3 linked regions of the Drosophila melanogaster genome follow. The protein of the gene in region 1 interacts with the protein of each later gene in a pairwise test. Each region holds a gene or a part of one and is shown on either strand. Other genes may lie near its edges.

Evidence for each region. Proteins that work in one complex are often made in the same cells at the same time.
Region 2: the proteins of CG14104 (region 1) and Grip interact in a two-hybrid assay, tested with the Drosophila melanogaster proteins (one large-scale study listed by BioGRID).
Region 3: the proteins of CG14104 (region 1) and ERp60 interact in a two-hybrid assay, tested with the Drosophila melanogaster proteins (one large-scale study listed by BioGRID).

What each region holds. Positions count from the first base shown.
Region 1 is NT_037436.4:19,805,308-19,809,680, forward strand, and holds CG14104 (uncharacterized protein), read right to left. Parts: upstream 1,893-4,373; 5' UTR 1,840-1,892; coding exon 1,633-1,839; 3' UTR 1,504-1,632; downstream 1-1,503. Other genes in the region: CG34116 (uncharacterized protein), read right to left, coding at 61-696; Ccdc58 (Coiled-coil domain-containing 58), read left to right, coding at 895-930, 999-1,145, 1,203-1,325, 1,379-1,483; Kap-alpha1 (karyopherin alpha1), read left to right, coding at 2,630-2,830, 2,893-3,377, 3,437-3,700, 3,768-4,267, 4,332-4,373.
Region 2 is NC_004354.4:5,963,832-5,969,278, forward strand, and holds the start of Grip (glutamate receptor interacting protein), read left to right. Parts: upstream 1-2,447; 5' UTR 2,448-2,734; coding exon 2,735-2,906; intron 2,907-5,447. Other genes in the region: fs(1)M3 (female sterile (1) M3), read right to left, coding at 1-326.
Region 3 is NT_033778.4:11,887,068-11,893,555, forward strand, and holds ERp60 (endoplasmic reticulum p60), read right to left. Parts: upstream 3,913-6,488; 5' UTR 3,753-3,912; coding exon 3,604-3,752; intron 2,323-3,603; coding exon 1,882-2,322; intron 1,622-1,881; coding exon 1,508-1,621; intron 1,444-1,507; coding exon 678-1,443; 3' UTR 501-677; downstream 1-500. Other genes in the region: cuff (cutoff), read left to right, coding at 1-66, 177-440.

The DNA.
Region 1 (4,373 bases):
ATATGTACAGAGTATGTATATTAGCTTAAATTAAGTCCTACTTAATCCTGATTAACTATTCTACTCCGCCGTTGGAACCGTATTCAGAGTAAGGCGTCGTAGCCTGCCCAATACGAAGATTTCGTCTATAGCTTTTTTGGCATAGAATTTTTGGTCCTCGCTGAGTTTGCGGTACTCAAGGGACCAGGTCTGTGCATAAACATTGGACTCCTCGACCCCACTTGCGTCGAGTGGTAGCGCGATCTCGGGAATGTCCGGAATACGGGCTGAAGCTGCAGTGGAATCTCCGCCGCTGACCGCTTCCCCCACAAAGGCGGCAACATCGGCAGGAGAGGGTTTTGTTTCCAACTCATCCGACATGGATTGTTGGTCATCATGTTCCTCATGATGCTCCTGGTCCGTCTCCTCCTTTCTGTCGTTGGATTCGCCCTTGGAATTGTAGCAGCAGAATGCCTGTTTCTTGAGATACTGCAGGTGACACCGGTGACGCCTCAGGTTCGTTGTGGATTTGTGGGTGAAGGACATAATGCTCCTGCAGCCGATGCAGAACAGTACGTGCTCCAGAAAGCTACCATCGTCCTTCTTGATCTTGCGATACACCCGCCACACAGTGCTCCGTGTGCTTTTGTCATTAACAGCCAATTGGTAGACGCCGGTTTCAATTTTCTCGTGAATATCATCGAATTTTAGCGGCATCTTGAATTATTTTGCTATTTTGTTTTGTTTTGTTCAACTAGTCTTTATCATCCACATCGATTGTCCATAATCGTGCTAATCGATTGCACCGCCCAGGTGGCAACCCCGATTAGAGGCACATTGCGCCGGCAATTTTACATATATCATTTTGTTTTTATTATTTTTTAAAGTGTTTTCTTGTTTTCCTACCTGGTTTAAATGGCGGCATTGTGCTTAGACTTTCTCGGCTTCCAGGTGGGGGTTGGAATATTGTTGTTTGGGTTAGTAGCCGGCATACTAAATGGCTTTAAGTTTCCAAACAGGAGGCACTGAAGAAGATGCGAGATGTGGACGACAAGATTATATATGCACTAAATGCCCTGCCAACGGAGTCGTTTAAGGGTCAAGTGAACAGTGAAAGCACCTGTCGCGATCTGTACGCGAAGCTCCAGGAGTCACACTTGGCCAGGGTAAATCCTGATTAAGTACAACACACGGGGATCTTGACAGATAGCTTCTCCTTGCAGCAAGAAAGCATACGCAGTTGCATAACAATTTCGGCTAGTAATCTGAAGAAGCTAAGGGAAAAGCGGGAGACCCAGCCGGATGATGTGGATACGGATAACCAGTTTAGGGCGGAGCAGCGCAAGGTAACCGAAATACCTAAGTCTTACTCTTAACTGATGCCTATGATCCTTTCCAGCTGCGGGTTCTCCAGGCCGAGCTCAATGTCGAGGACATCATTAAAGATCGTTCCTACAAGACCTTCAATGAACGATGCCGGTCCTATTTTCATGCTGGCCAATAGGTGGAACAAATGCAATGACTAGTTTTAGGTGGATTTATTAGCAGAAGTCTCATGGAACTGCCAAGCCAGAAGGCATTTACATGCACTCCGTTGTATTACAAGTTGTTTACAACAAGTACATAAATATAACAGTCTAAAAAGCACAAACTTTATTCGTCGCGGGGCAGGTTGTATGTAGCGTAAACCGATCCGACGGGTACGCATTTTAGGTTGGCCAAGGCTTCCAGGACGCGCTGGGTGGCATCCTTTAGGTCGTTGTACTCGTGCAGCAGTTCAATGATCTTCTTTTTCTGACCCTCTGACGTTTCATTTGTCTTATTGGCCGTTTTGCGCGACTTTTTCTTATTTTCTTTCATGTTTAAATTAAATGCAATTGGATTGGAATTACTGCTATCGGTTGATATCGCTATCGATAGCGCGTCAGCTGTGTGCATTGCATTTTGACAGTCCGGCATCCCCGTTCCTCACAACGTGTAAAATCTCCCGTCCCCTTGCATGATTAAGACGAGAAAAGGATTCTCCGGAACAGGTAAATTGTGTTCTAATTACGTATCTGAAGGCGCCTCTTCTAACCAGGAGTTGTGGTGGCTCAAAGAAGGGCGTAACCGGAGACCAGCGAATGGCTCATGCTGGCTGACCTAAGCCCGCACCTATACGCACAAACGCAAAGCAGCCGTGTGTGCACATATGTACATACACGTACAATGAAATGTGAAAGTGTTGTGATTGTGCATTTTGCCAGGAAAACTGAATAGTTCATTAAATGTGAACCTATTATATGTAAATTATTCGCCTGACAACGTAATCTTTATGTTTCCGGAAATGTAAAATTAGCCTAGAGCAGGCGCTAAGCGAATGTTCAGTGGTTACAGGGCGTAATAATCCTGGTGGGAGTGGATGAGAACATTGGGGAACACCTAGTGATGATTATAAACGTTCAATTCAACTAGTTCGCATTCCACGACGACCTCTACCTATATTTTCTAGATTATTTGCACTTTCGTTTAGCATTTGATCACAGTAGCGGCGAAAATCAAGTCGCACTCACTTTTTATCTGAAACCTGTCTTTACGACTTAAATTATTCTGTTCTCAAAGAAATATTTTTTTTAACTATTTCAAGCTTTTGAATTGCCAAGACGACGAAATGTCTGCCAGCCACAAACAGCGTTATAAAAATGCCGCCTTGGACTCCACAGAGATGCGTCGTCGTCGCGAGGAGGTGGGCATCCAGTTGCGAAAAAACAAACGCGAACAGCAGCTCTTTAAGCGACGCAATGTGGTTCTTGAGCCGGCTACATCCTCAACATCAGCCGGAGTGGAGAGCAACACCGATAACGAACAGCAGGTATATTTTGATCAAGTTTGGCCTGATAGCATAGTCTTAACTATCTCTCCATTCCAATGCAGGCTGCCGACATGCACATGGCTGACAGCAGCACTGGCGGTCAAAACGAGGAAGCTGCTGGAAGCGGGGCACAGCCATCCGTAATCAACGAGGAAATGATTCAAATGCTCTTCAGTGGACGTGAAAACGAACAGCTTGAGGCGACTCAAAAGTTCCGCAAACTGCTGTCCCGCGATCCCAATCCTCCCATTGAGGAAGTCATCCAGAAGGGGATAGTGCCACAGTTTGTCACCTTTTTGCGAAATAGCGCAAATGCCACGCTGCAGTTCGAGGCCGCCTGGACGCTAACGAACATCGCATCGGGCACCTCGCAACAGACCAAGGTGGTTATCGAGGCCGGGGCAGTGCCTATCTTCATTGATTTGCTCTCCAGTCCCCATGATGATGTTCAGGAACAGGCCGTGTGGGCCCTAGGCAACATAGCCGGTGACTCACCCATGTGTCGAGACCATTTGCTCGGCTCCGGCATTCTAGAGCCTCTCCTGCAGTAAGTTATAAATAATTATATTGATAAGATTGCGCCAAAGTAGGTGTGACTTCTTGCAGTGTATTGAGCAACTCGGATCGCATTACCATGATACGGAATGCGGTGTGGACACTTTCAAACTTGTGCCGCGGCAAAAGCCCTCCCGCAGACTTTGCCAAAATTAGCCATGGTCTACCAATACTGGCACGGTTGCTGAAGTACACTGATGCGGATGTACTAAGCGATACTTGCTGGGCCATAGGCTACCTGTCAGATGGTCCCAATGATAAAATCCAGGCTGTAATTGATGCGGGTGTTTGCCGTCGCCTGGTTGAGCTGCTATTGTAAGTAGTCCTGCTGCGCCATTACAAATTAAAATTACACTTATGATTTGTTGACCTATCCTGGCAGACATCCTCAGCAGAACGTGAGCACAGCTGCTCTGAGGGCCGTGGGCAATATTGTGACAGGCGACGATCAGCAGACCCAGGTGATATTGGGGTACAACGCTTTGACCTGCATTAGCCACCTGCTGCATTCGACGGCGGAAACAATCAAGAAGGAGTCGTGCTGGACAATCTCAAATATTGCAGCCGGCAATCGTGAGCAGATCCAGGCCTTAATCAATGCCAACATATTCCCGCAGCTGATGGTTATCATGCAGACGGCCGAATTTAAGACTCGCAAGGAGGCCGCATGGGCCATTACCAACGCAACCAGCAGCGGTACGCACGAACAGATCCACTACCTGGTGCAGGTTGGCTGTGTGCCGCCCATGTGCGATTTTCTCACCGTCGTCGACTCGGACATCGTCCAAGTGGCGCTAAATGCACTTGAAAACATTTTGAAGGCAGGTGAAAAGTTCCAGACGCGACCAAATCCCTATGCTATTACCATCGAGGAATGCGGAGGTAACGCTATTTATTTTTACTTTCAAATTTCCATTTAAATATCGATTCTGTTAATATTATATAGGTTTGGACAAAATAGAGTATCTGCAGGCGCATGAAAACCGCG
Region 2 (5,447 bases), on another chromosome or scaffold:
CCAAGCGGCACTAGACGCCTCTCCCCAGTGGCCACGTGCAGCTGAAAAATCTCGTGTCCATGGAGCAGTAAAAGTAGATCCTCTTCCGGTTCGCGGAGCACAAAGAGTGGCTTCTCATGGCGCACCATCATGTCCACAAAGGGCAGACGGATTTCCGGGCCAGAGCTACTGCCATTCAACCCATTGCGACAGGAACTGGGCAGCAGCTGGGCAGCACTCGGATCTCCAGCGACTTCTGCTGCTGATAATTCACTTTGTACTTGGGCGATATAGCTATTTAACACTAACACACTAAATAATGCTGCACACACGCTTGGCGAAATCATTTCGCAAGGATTGCAGGGACTGTTGTATCTAGTGATACTAAACTACAATGATATATTCAATCCATTCACATGGCACATTACTTTTGGTGTGCCATTTCTCTTGTTCGTAACTGTAAACCAATTTATACTTCGTGAGAGAGCTCTAGTATAACTGTAAAATGAAAAGAAATACTGTGAGTGACGGAAAGCGCGCGAAAGACAAAAACTCATCGAACAGTTGTTGTTATTCCGTTACAGTGGAATAAACAGAGTTACTATATGTAGAGTGAAATATGTATATTTTTGTAGTTCCTGGTTTTCCGATTTGAGTTCTCAGCCTGAATGTAGGCAACGGAAAGTGCTTTCATTTGTGCGCTCAACGAGCATTTTTCCCATGTGTCGCATTAGTTTTCCCCGATTTTCTCGGCACTCGTCAGTCAATCCGCGTCTCTCCGTCCTGCTTTCTCCGCCTGCAGCAGTGACACCTTGGACTGGGAATTAAATTTTTCGTACGGGGTTGGGCAGTGGGGAATGGGGCATATAAGGCTGGGGATCTAAAAATAAGGCAGACAAACTTGGAGAGTGCCTTCGACGTTTCTGCTGAATCAATCAGCTTCGATCATTAGTCGAGGTCATTAAAGACATTAAACCTCGAGCCACCAAAAAAAAAAAGATAGAAAGGAAGAGAGCATTTAACACGGAAGAGGGAATCGCATAAAAATAAATTTATATGTACGTATGTATGCACATACATACATATGTATGTGAAATATTTTGGGGGCGGAATGGGCCTTACCAAGTCACCCATAAATCCGCAGCTTTAACCTAAAAGGTGGCCACATTTGTACTTGCAGTTAAATCGGATTTAAGGCACATATAAATATGTATTAATAGGTGTACAAGAGGAAAACGGTATTCATGTCATCGCCCTCGGGGTCAGGATTTGGGGGCATCCGTTGGGAACACCCGCTGAAATATTTACTTTGCCCAAAATCTGATTGATCGCAGCATTGACATGTTATGCAAACAACATTCCAGTGTAACGAATATACAATTGTAAAATAAATAAGAGCAAAACATACAATCGGATGTTAAATTGAGGTGAACTTAAAATTTTGTAGATCAAAATTGGCTTTTATGTTTTAAACTTTCAAAATGTAACTTTCCTGAATGCCCTTTTAAGTTTGTACCATTTCTAGTTGGCTTAGTGCATGGCTAATACCAGCTGTTGGTTTCAGCAGATGTGCTCACTGGTTGCGTGCTGCCGATTTGGTTCATTTCATTTCGGTTTTTGTTGTGTCCTGTTTCTGTTGACCATTTCGAGCAGTTGCCGTCGCGCTTTTCGTGACTAATTAGCAAATTCGCGACACCCGTTTTGGGAGCATTTTTTTCTGCGTTCGTTGTTTGGCGTTTGGCGTCACAGGCCAAAACCCAAGTCACCCCTCCCCCAACACACTAAACCATTAACCATTTCGGACTACCGCTTAACGGTTAACAGAAGCAGCTGATTGTCATGCCTGCGGCTCATCAGCGGGCTCATAACGGCGCTTTTGGAGTGGCGGTCTGTGATTTGAGTGCCTCCCCAATGGGATACTCTTCTGCCAGAGAGAGGACGAGAGTAAGAGCGAGAGAAAACTCTTTCTCCAGTAGCCAAAACTCCCCAAAAAGCGCTCCGCTTACGCACCACTCTCGCTCTCCTTTTTCTCTTCCTTTTCTCCTCGCGAGTGAGTCACGCAGCTAGAGCTAGAGCTGGAAAAACATCGATGCTCGTCGCCGTCGATGTTTTCGATGTTTTATGGCGAGAACATTGACTATCGAAAAATAAACGAAAAATATTACTCTTTCTGTTCTTTTTGTGTGCATTCGTATTCGTATTAATAAATATGAAAATTAAAACATACAAATATATTTTATTATTACTTATTTATTTTCATATATATACATACACACATTTAATACGGGTTATACAAAAACTTTCGATTAACTATTATCTACAAATTTATCTAAAAATATAAACTCATTTGCAATAAAGGATTCAATAACAAAATTCAACATCAAAGTTAACAAAAATGTTCTGCAACATCGATACTATCGATGTTACATCGTTAATTCTACCACCTCTAGTACTGGCGGCAAGATCGCTCATTGTGCAACTTTTGGCCGTGCTCCGCGGACGTGCGCGCATCGTCAGGTTCAGTCGCATCGCAGTCGCCGTCGCCGCCGCAGCCGTTGAATTTCCAAATTGTTTTCGAATTTCCCGATATCGATTGGAAACCGAATTCGTTTTTAAATTTACTTTACCTTTTTTTTTTTTTTAAATATACAGTTTTTTTTTTGTGAAAATGCCAAATTTGCCATGAGTGTTGAAAAATCGTAGAGATCGCTGCGTTTTCCCATTTGGGGAGAAGTTGGAGAAAAGAAAACTCAAGATGAAACTGTGGAAATCGAAGAAGCCCATTGGTGGCTGTGTGCCCGGAAAATCGGCCGCCCTAAAACAGGACCAACAGCAGCAACAACAACAGCAACAGGAGTCGCACAACAACTCCTTCAATGGACACCATCATCCGCCGACGGACACTGCCTTGGCGCCCATGTTATCCGGTAAGTGATGGGGCTTTCCCAATCTTCGAATTTTCCAATTTTCCCATTTCCCCCAACCCACTTCCTTCCACAGCAGATAGCCAGCCAAAAATCATCTAAAAGCGCCCAACATGTGCGCTCCCATTTTCCGCTTTTCCGCCTTTTCGACTTGCCGACTTTCCGTCTTTTCCCCGCCCGCTCAGGGTTATCGCATTTCCGCCCAAGGTGCTTGCGTTTGGCCCTCAAGTGCTTGACTTTAGATATAGATTTGTATACAAATATCCGACGGTGTGTTTGCATCTCTATATCCAAGTATCCAAGCATCCAAGTGCTGTTGAAAATATAGTTTTCGCTCAGTGTGTGCTTGTGGGCCAAGACAATGTTTGACATTTTCAATTGAAAGTAATTGCTCGCATTTCGTTTTCATTTTCCGATCGCTCGAAATTTGTCAATTGCAACGCCCCTTCCCTCAAAGAAATAAAGAAACCCCCCATGGAGCCGATGGAGCTGGGTGACCTGACCCTTGATTACCCAGCGATTGGTTTAATAGGATCAGCAGGCAGTTTGATGGATTACCCGGCCATCGAATGGCAATCGAATTGGATTGCCAAATCAGTGAAGTTCAACGGTTCGCTGCTATATTGCTCTATATATCATGACTAATTGGAGCTGATCAGATAAGCAGATGATCAGATGCATTTCCCATCAATTGAAGGAAGACCTAATTGAATGGATTGCGCAATCTCAAAGAGAAATACCGAGAATTTGGTGTACCTATAATAAATTAGCTTGGAAGAAAAGAGTATCAGTTTCGCCCACCTCCATGGCTACTGTTTCAACTTTGACCTATCATAAGTTGAGATCTAGATAGGACACCCCTTTTTGAGGATCTTAAAAGCCGTTCCGCGAACGCTGTTCTCTTTTTATTTTCAGCTTTTCCGTTGATCTTTCGCGGATTAATGATCTAAAAGTGCCGCCAGGATGGACGCGAGGAAAAAGGCGGCTGGGATTTATGCCAGTTAAGGCATTAGCGGCGTAAAATGATGGCCCAACTCCAATTGCAACTGCAGTTGAACTTTCCAATGAATGAAAAGGCCAGAAGAGAAGGAAACCAGATACCGATGTGCTATGGGTGAAGTAGAGAAGCGCAGGAGATACAAAAGTATCTGCATCTGTTCGTGTGCGCGGGCTTAAATTGCATTTGATGAATTTATGGCATGGCAAGCGTAATTAAGCATTTAATTAAATATTTCTGATGCTCCGCATTGTTGTTGCTCCAACTGTTGCTATTGCTGTTGCTGTTGCCCCTTTTCATTGCTTAATTTTCTTGCGCGGAATGCCACAGATTGTATCTGGTAGATAAGGCCAAGTGCCTGGCCAGAATGCAGCTTCTGCTGGTGGCAGTTGGTCGATGTGGATGCGCTTACTGGGCCAGACAATCGTCAATTGATGCCAAATGACTAGATGAAGTCGTACAGCAGTGGTCAAGATAATAGCAGCTTGAATAGGTTTAGCTTAAGGCTTCATTATAATTGGTCTTGCTTAGTTTTCAAGTGTATGCATAGTGGAAGCTTGAAGGCCTTTCGAGATTTATTTCCCTGTTGAAACATAACATTTGATCTCCTATTGTTTCGACCCCCTGTGTAAACCTAATGGCACGCACGTTTGTATGTAGATGCATCTGCAATTGGTGGCTGTGGATGGTTGCCTATCCGAAGGCAAACAGAGGCGTGTACTCATCCAAAAGGGGGGGATCAAAAAGGGGGGAGGATGACCAGATGTCACTTGTTTACACAGTAATGACAGCTACAACAGCAGAAACAACAACTGCAGCGATTGATTTGACTGCTCATTTGACTCCCTCGAATGCAAACAAAGGCCTGAGAATATCGAAAGGTGTTCAATGTCAATGCACCGAACAGCCCAAAAACATCGGGCCCAAAATCAAACAGATGACAACTCCCCCCAATTGGAATCGAAAAAAGAACCCCTCACTCTCTTGTCCACTTTTATGGCACATTAAGTGCCCATAAAATCAACGACAAAACATTGGAAATCGTAAAAAGAGTTGGAACTACTCGAAAAATGTCGAAATGATATAATAGATCAACAGATTATACTGTCAGCGTTGACAGGCGGGCGATGGGAATACGATCTAAATTTGCATTGCTTCCCAAGGATTATTTCGGTAAAATAATACCAAAATAAATTAAAAAAATAAAATGCTAGAACATCTTAGACATTTTTTTTTTGATTAAATGACATTTGTCTTGGCAATAAATTGATACATTTTCACGGTGATAAATAAATGGTGAAAAAATGCAATTGAGGTCAGAGTTTCATCTTTTTTGTGATGGTCGAATCGAAAAAAGATCACGTCTGACATGGAAAATATTTCGAACTTATGAGGCGATTAAATTTATGGAATTTTGATGATTATTACAAGAGGTCCAATGACAAAAATCGGGAATGAATTGATAGTGGATAATTCCTTCTGTCTTTTACATCTACCATGTGTGTTCTTTTCTCAGATTTTATGCGATTTTTCATTGCATATGTCGA
Region 3 (6,488 bases), on another chromosome or scaffold:
CGCGATGAAAACGCCCATGTGCACAACATTGAAAAGACTTTGGTGCGGGATTTATGGAAGTCTTGCGTTAGTATACTTAAATCAAGCATTTTATGCAAGTTTATCGCCCAGTTTTGCAACTTTCGAGGAACATTTCTTGTTCTACTAACTTAAGAAACTAAATTTTTCATTTACAGGAAAAAGATTGGTCGCCCACAGTGTGCGCCAACTTCATGATTTACCTACTCAATTGTATTTCCCAAGTTATGGCGCCGATCGACTGCCCCAGCACCGTTTACCTTTTTCAGTTCGACGCGAGCCAAGGAACAGTATCATACAAGGGCTTGCGAGGGCGCAATCAGTACACGTTCGTTTCGGACTGGTTCCGGATGATGCTGGACGATCACACGAACGATATGTGTAAGACACCGAATTTGCAAACCATGTCTTCTATAGTTTAACAATAACAATGAGAACTGGCAAAGAAATATGAATACCGAAATAGCAGAACAAAAGTGGTTAACTAATTAAATGAAGATTTAAGTTTATTGCGACATAATCATCAAATTGTGTTCGTACGCGTTTCATCACTATCAAATAATTTAATACATTTTTTGCTCAAGTATTGTGGAGAATGCATTCGATTTTACAAAAATATGGAAATGCTAGTTGGCGGCCAGTTCTACCCGGCGTGCAGCTTAGAGCTCGGTCTTCTTGGGCTTGCCGCTGCGGTCGAAGCCCTTCAGTTCTGTGGTCGCCTCCTTGGCGATGTACTTAAGGAAGTCGTCTACCTCGCGACCTCCGTTGTAGCTGACTGGCTTGTTCTTGGCGTCCTTGGGCAGCCAGAAGAGGGTGGGGAAGCCGCGCACGTTGAACTCCGGCGGCACATCGTTGGCGGTGGCGTCCATCTTGACGATGGCCACATCTTCGTCTTGCAGCTTCTCGGCCAGCTCCTCGTAGATGGGACTCAGCTTCTTGCAGTGGCCGCACCATGGGGCGTAGAACTCAATCAGCGTGTCTTTGCCATTGTTGATAACCAGATCGTCGAAGTTCTTGGCGACGGCCACCTTGACGGGAGCGTCGTTCGACTCGGGAATAGGCTCACTCTTAATGTACGGCTCCAGCTCATTCGCCAGCAGCTTCTCGACAAAGTCCTGCAGATTCTCCACTGAGAACTCGTCCTTCAGGGCGTATTTGAGATTCTTTTCGTCGCGAGCCAATACCACTGGCTTGTCGCCAACGAAATCGTAGCCGTACTCGTTCAACTCGTGCTGGAAGTCATCCTTGGAGGCGATCGCAAAGTTGATTTGACCCACAAACTCCTTGGCCACCTTGAGCACACGGTTGCGCCAGTAGTTCGTTCCCTTGGGGTTCTTCTGGTAGTCCACGCTGTAGTAGGCAGTGATCAAAGGATTCTGGAAATCCTTGACCGAATCCTGAGTGCGGTGTCCCACAAGACCATGGCTGGAGTAGAGAGCAATAATAGTGGACATGTGCCAGAAGGTAACAACATTTCCAAACTACTTACAAGTTCTCCTTGACAAAGGTAGACAGATCGGACTCGGAGCTACCCTCGAACTTAATGGAAGATGACTCGAACTTGTTGCTCAGATGGGGGGCACGAATAAGCACAATCTTGTCGCTGGAACGGATTGAAAAGCATCACAGATATTTTAATTACTTACATTAACACATTTTAACATAAAAACCTAAAAGTGGAAACTTTTTGGAGAAAACTTTGGAGCAAGTTAAATGAACAATGAAATGGATGAACCTTTCATTACATTTAAACAAATATGAAAATCCCAACTAGGCTCTAGTTTATTAACACTTAGAAAATATATAAAACGAAAAACACATAATACACAGATGTACGAGTCTTGATTAGAGCCTCCCACTTACGTTTCGCCCTGCTTATCGAGGACTTCCTTTTCGCTTGAATGTCCGAAGCGGTACTTTTCGCGGTTCTTATCGGCGAACTTCAGGAAAATCTTGGCCAGTTTGGAGTCGCTGTCGCTGAAGTAGCCGAACAGCGTGGTGTCCTTGGTGTCCAGGAACTTTTTCAGCTCGGCAACGGTGCGCACGGTCTTGGAGGCGGGTCCCACTTGGGCGCGCATGTACTTGGCAATGCCGCTGGCTTCGCGTGGTCCATTGTAGTCCTGCGACACCTCATCCTGACGGAAAATCTTCAACGTTGGGTAGCCGCTGACGGAGTACTTGCTACACGTTTCCTTTCCAGCTTCCGTACAGTCAACCTTGGCCAGTTTGATTGGCGGATCATCGTCTTTCACGATCTCCGCCGCCTTGGCGTACTCGGGCTTCAATCGCTTGCAGTGGCCGCACCTTAAACAGGAAAAAACACTCTGTTAGGACACGTCACTTAAACATTATGTTGGTAACAATACTATCTAATTCATCATTTGTTATCAAGGCAACGGGAAGACAAGTTCCCAAAAAACTAGCTTGTAATTAAAGTAAGGGTGCTGGAATTATCAACTGTCTTATCACACAAGTACAAGTGCCCATTAGGCATACAGAGAGAAAAACGACTTGGTACTTATTTGAAACAGCAGAGTATAGTCTGCACTCTTAGCAGTGCAGATAATAATTCATTTTTGATAAAGATAAGTGATGCCTTAAGTTAACTATGTTATAATGAAAAGAGCAGTTTTATTGCAGTGTACAACTTTTTCAACTTCATCCCTGTGTATTTATGCTTGAATACTGATAAGGTTCGTCATGAGGGAATCAAGTCTCCATGCCAAGTAGTTCAACAGCTCTTTGGGGATTTCGAAAGCCGGCCGGCAAAAAAAACGCTAATAATTTACCTAGTTCATTGTCCAAGTGTGAGCTTATAGTTTACCCCTGATAATGGGCAAACAAATGGCTCAAAAGAGAGTAAATAGGCACAGTAAATATGTGTTATGTACTAAACAAAAATGTATTAAAAGGTTATTGTGTTCAGTGTGGATTACGATGGAAGTTAAAAATGTGTCTACTGACATGAGAAATTTATAGCACAATCAGCATAACTTTTGTGAGTAGGCAGGCAATTAAAATTGAAGTTTTAATATGGTTGGTGTAAACTGTTGGGAAATTACATTTGTATGAGAACTGTGAGTGTTTCAGACTATGATAACCAGTTTCAAGCTAAATCTAAGTTAACCCTTAGAATTACACATTCCTGGGATTATGGGTATAATGCATAGGCATAAGAAACTATAATAAAAGATGCGCTATGTACACTGGGGCCCCTATGCCTGCTCACTATCATTAGCCAGTGGACAAGTGGAGCAGGAATTGCACGGAAATTGTACCAACTAGGCACTTTGGCACCCCGCGCTCTAAAATGGCCGACGGCACCAATACTGGCATATCATCATTGCCCCTCTCTTTGCGTCTCGTTTCGTTCCGTCACTCGTTCCTTCTTTATTTGCCGGCAAAAGCAAGGCAAACGCTGACGTGTACTTTGCGCTTGCGATGGCCGGAAAATCGGGCATCGGTCGGCACTGGGCATTGGGAATCGAATTAAGTTGCGGACGCAACAAGCGGATTATACGCGAATCGCACACGCAATGCATTTGTTGTAGGATGGCGCCCGGCCACGCCCACTCACTAACTCACCAGGGGGCGTAGAACATGACCAGCGTCGTCTCGTGTTGTTTTAGGGTGGTGGCAAAGTCGTCGTCCCCCAGTTCCAGGACATCCTGCTCCGCTCCGGACGAGATGGCGATGAAGCCTAGTAGGAGCACTCCAGCAAGGCGCCACATCATTATTTGGGTTCACTTGAAGCGATATCGGTGAATAATTCAAGTTCAACTAGGCCGTCGAACGCCTACTTCTACAACAAAAACTGAGTACCGGACCGGTTCGGTATTTTTCAACGATTGAATTCGCTTTTTGCCTCTTTCGCCACGTCGCTTCTTATTCTGTTTCGTCGTAGTGTGGCCAGGTGGGGCTAGGCCGAAAATGTCTAAAGTTGGAAAAAGCTCTCAGTTGTGAGCTTTCCTGCATATGTAAACAATAAATAAAGATGGCTCATCATTTATTAATGACTAATGTCTATATGTGTGGGTTTTAAATGCTTTAGCTATAATTCTTTCCAGTCACACAGAAAAGTTGAGATCTAGATTTAAATTAATTTAATTGATACCGATTTATAATAAAATTTTGTCAAATTATCATTTCATAAAAGATGGTAATTGCATTTATTGTTAACTGATTTCGCAAGCATAACAATAATCATATTATTAATAACTAATTAATTAATTTCACAAAATTAGGAAAACACTTAGGAACTTTTAATTGCGTCCTATATAAGGGGCAGGCTAACAACTTTTGTTCTATGCACAATGAATAAATTTATTGAGTACAAGTGAAAACTGAGTGAAAAAATAGTCTAACAAAAAATATTAAGCAGTAAGTTACAAATTCAAATAAATATTAGCATTCTGATGAATTCCAGAAGAAAAAGTATTAAAACGTGAGATCTTAAGTTATAAATTTTTACAATATTGTATAAATTGATACAATACCAAATTACTTATAGTTTTATTTGTAGCATATTTTAGTTGTAGCAACGGACGCCAAAAAATGTATAAATAAATGAAACGTATTACATAAATTTAAACGATCTCAAGCTTCTATTGTTATTTAAAGTTCTATTACGTTAGGGTTCACATACAAATTAAAGTTCAGGTTCTAGTCTAAAAGTTCAAAATGCGGACTACTAATGCAATTGTTATAGTTTTTAAATATTAAGAGATATGTGTTCCAATATTACGTATAGAAATTATAGACATCGTTTTGTAGAAAATATTTTTGGAATCACTGATTATTTAGTTTTTCATATAAAAACAATGTCGAGCAAACAAGGTTTTTTAAATCCCTCAATCGTTAGGTTATTGTATTTTGCCACTTTCAATCACTTAAATTTCAATAAAATGAAGTGCTTCATTCGCGCGTAGTGGAAACACCGCAGTGAGAACACGGTTTCTGCTCTTTTGACAGTTGCGTAGCTTCGGTCACACCATGTGTCAAACGAGGCTTCCTGTGCTGAGCTCTGCCGAACGCTCGTTCACTTTGTTCGAATCCGTCGCCGCTTAGACTTCGTGATTTCTCATTCAGCTTATTCGAGAGTAAGTTTTACCTGCGAGGCTATAATTAAGTAATTTCTGCAACGGGACTGCAGCCAGAAAACAATTTATAAACAAATATGCAGCTGAGACGCCGAATTTGTGCATATTTCCAGTGTTTTTCCTGTGTGTGTGTAATAAACCCGGAGATAACCTCTAACTGCGGTTTTCCAAAGTGAAAGGTGGCCATAGAAGCAAACACGTGGCAAGTCTGCAAAGGCAAAAATTTTAACTGGCGTTCCCAGTTAAAGTTCCCAGCATTCTCAAAATAATTTTCCGGCTTTTCCGGCCGCATTTTCGCCCTGCAATATGGTGCACTTAGTGTGTAATTACTTTGCCACGCCCACGCCGGACACAGAGGTCATCCACCAGATGTGCTCATTAACCGAGAAAAAAAAACGTGCTTTCTCTCTTGCCTTTGTCATGACCTATAGATATTCCTTATTCTTTCTTTTTGCGGCATGGAATTCTAAAATGGCGACCCAGTGGCGTGAGTCAAGTGGGCGAAAAAAATTCGCCTGGCAACAAGCGAAAAAATGTGCTTTTTTGGGTTTCCAGCCCATTAGCATATCTGGTGAAATGGCACTCGCATCAGCTATTTCGCCATTTCCAACCGACTCCATAATTGGTTTTGGTAAAATGGCTGCCGCTGCACTACGTTCTTGAATAATTCGTTGTGTGCCCCTCTCTTTTTCATTTCTTTCCAATTACCAATTGTGCCACCGCGGCGAGATCGCTTGCATTTGTACAAGTCACACACGCACACTAATGCACATCCGCCATTTTGGTCTCTCTCTCTCTCTATTCCTCTCTTACTTTTCCTCCGGCCGGCAACAGCGTCACACAAATACACAGGCATAGATATACACACGCATAGGCAGATAAGCACATGTGTATTTGCGAATTAAATTTGCTGGAATTTTCCTTTGGACTCTTCGATTTAACATGATGATGATTTTTCAGTTCTGCTACTGAAGACAGTTGACGAAAGCAAAAATACCAAAATCACTGAAACAAAATCGAGTTTCCATATGGAATTTTATTTGCACGCTCTTTTCTGTAGTTGCGCCCCACTCGTTTTACCCACACCCTTACATGCGGGCACTGGACCTAACCTCAAAAAACACGTTTTGTACGGCTGCAAGAGTTTGAGGTTAGGTTGTGCTCGCGCATGCAAACAAAAGTCGAACGTACGCTAGGGAAATGAGAAAGTGTTATACCCACTAATAATTGTAGTTGTAATCCCACCGAATGCTAACGAATTGTTTTACCCTTTGTTTATTCCAACCTCTCTTGCTCGCCAACCCGCCGAACCCTGCAACCTTCCAATGTTCCAACGTTCCGTCAATCCAACACTCGAATACACACAACAGC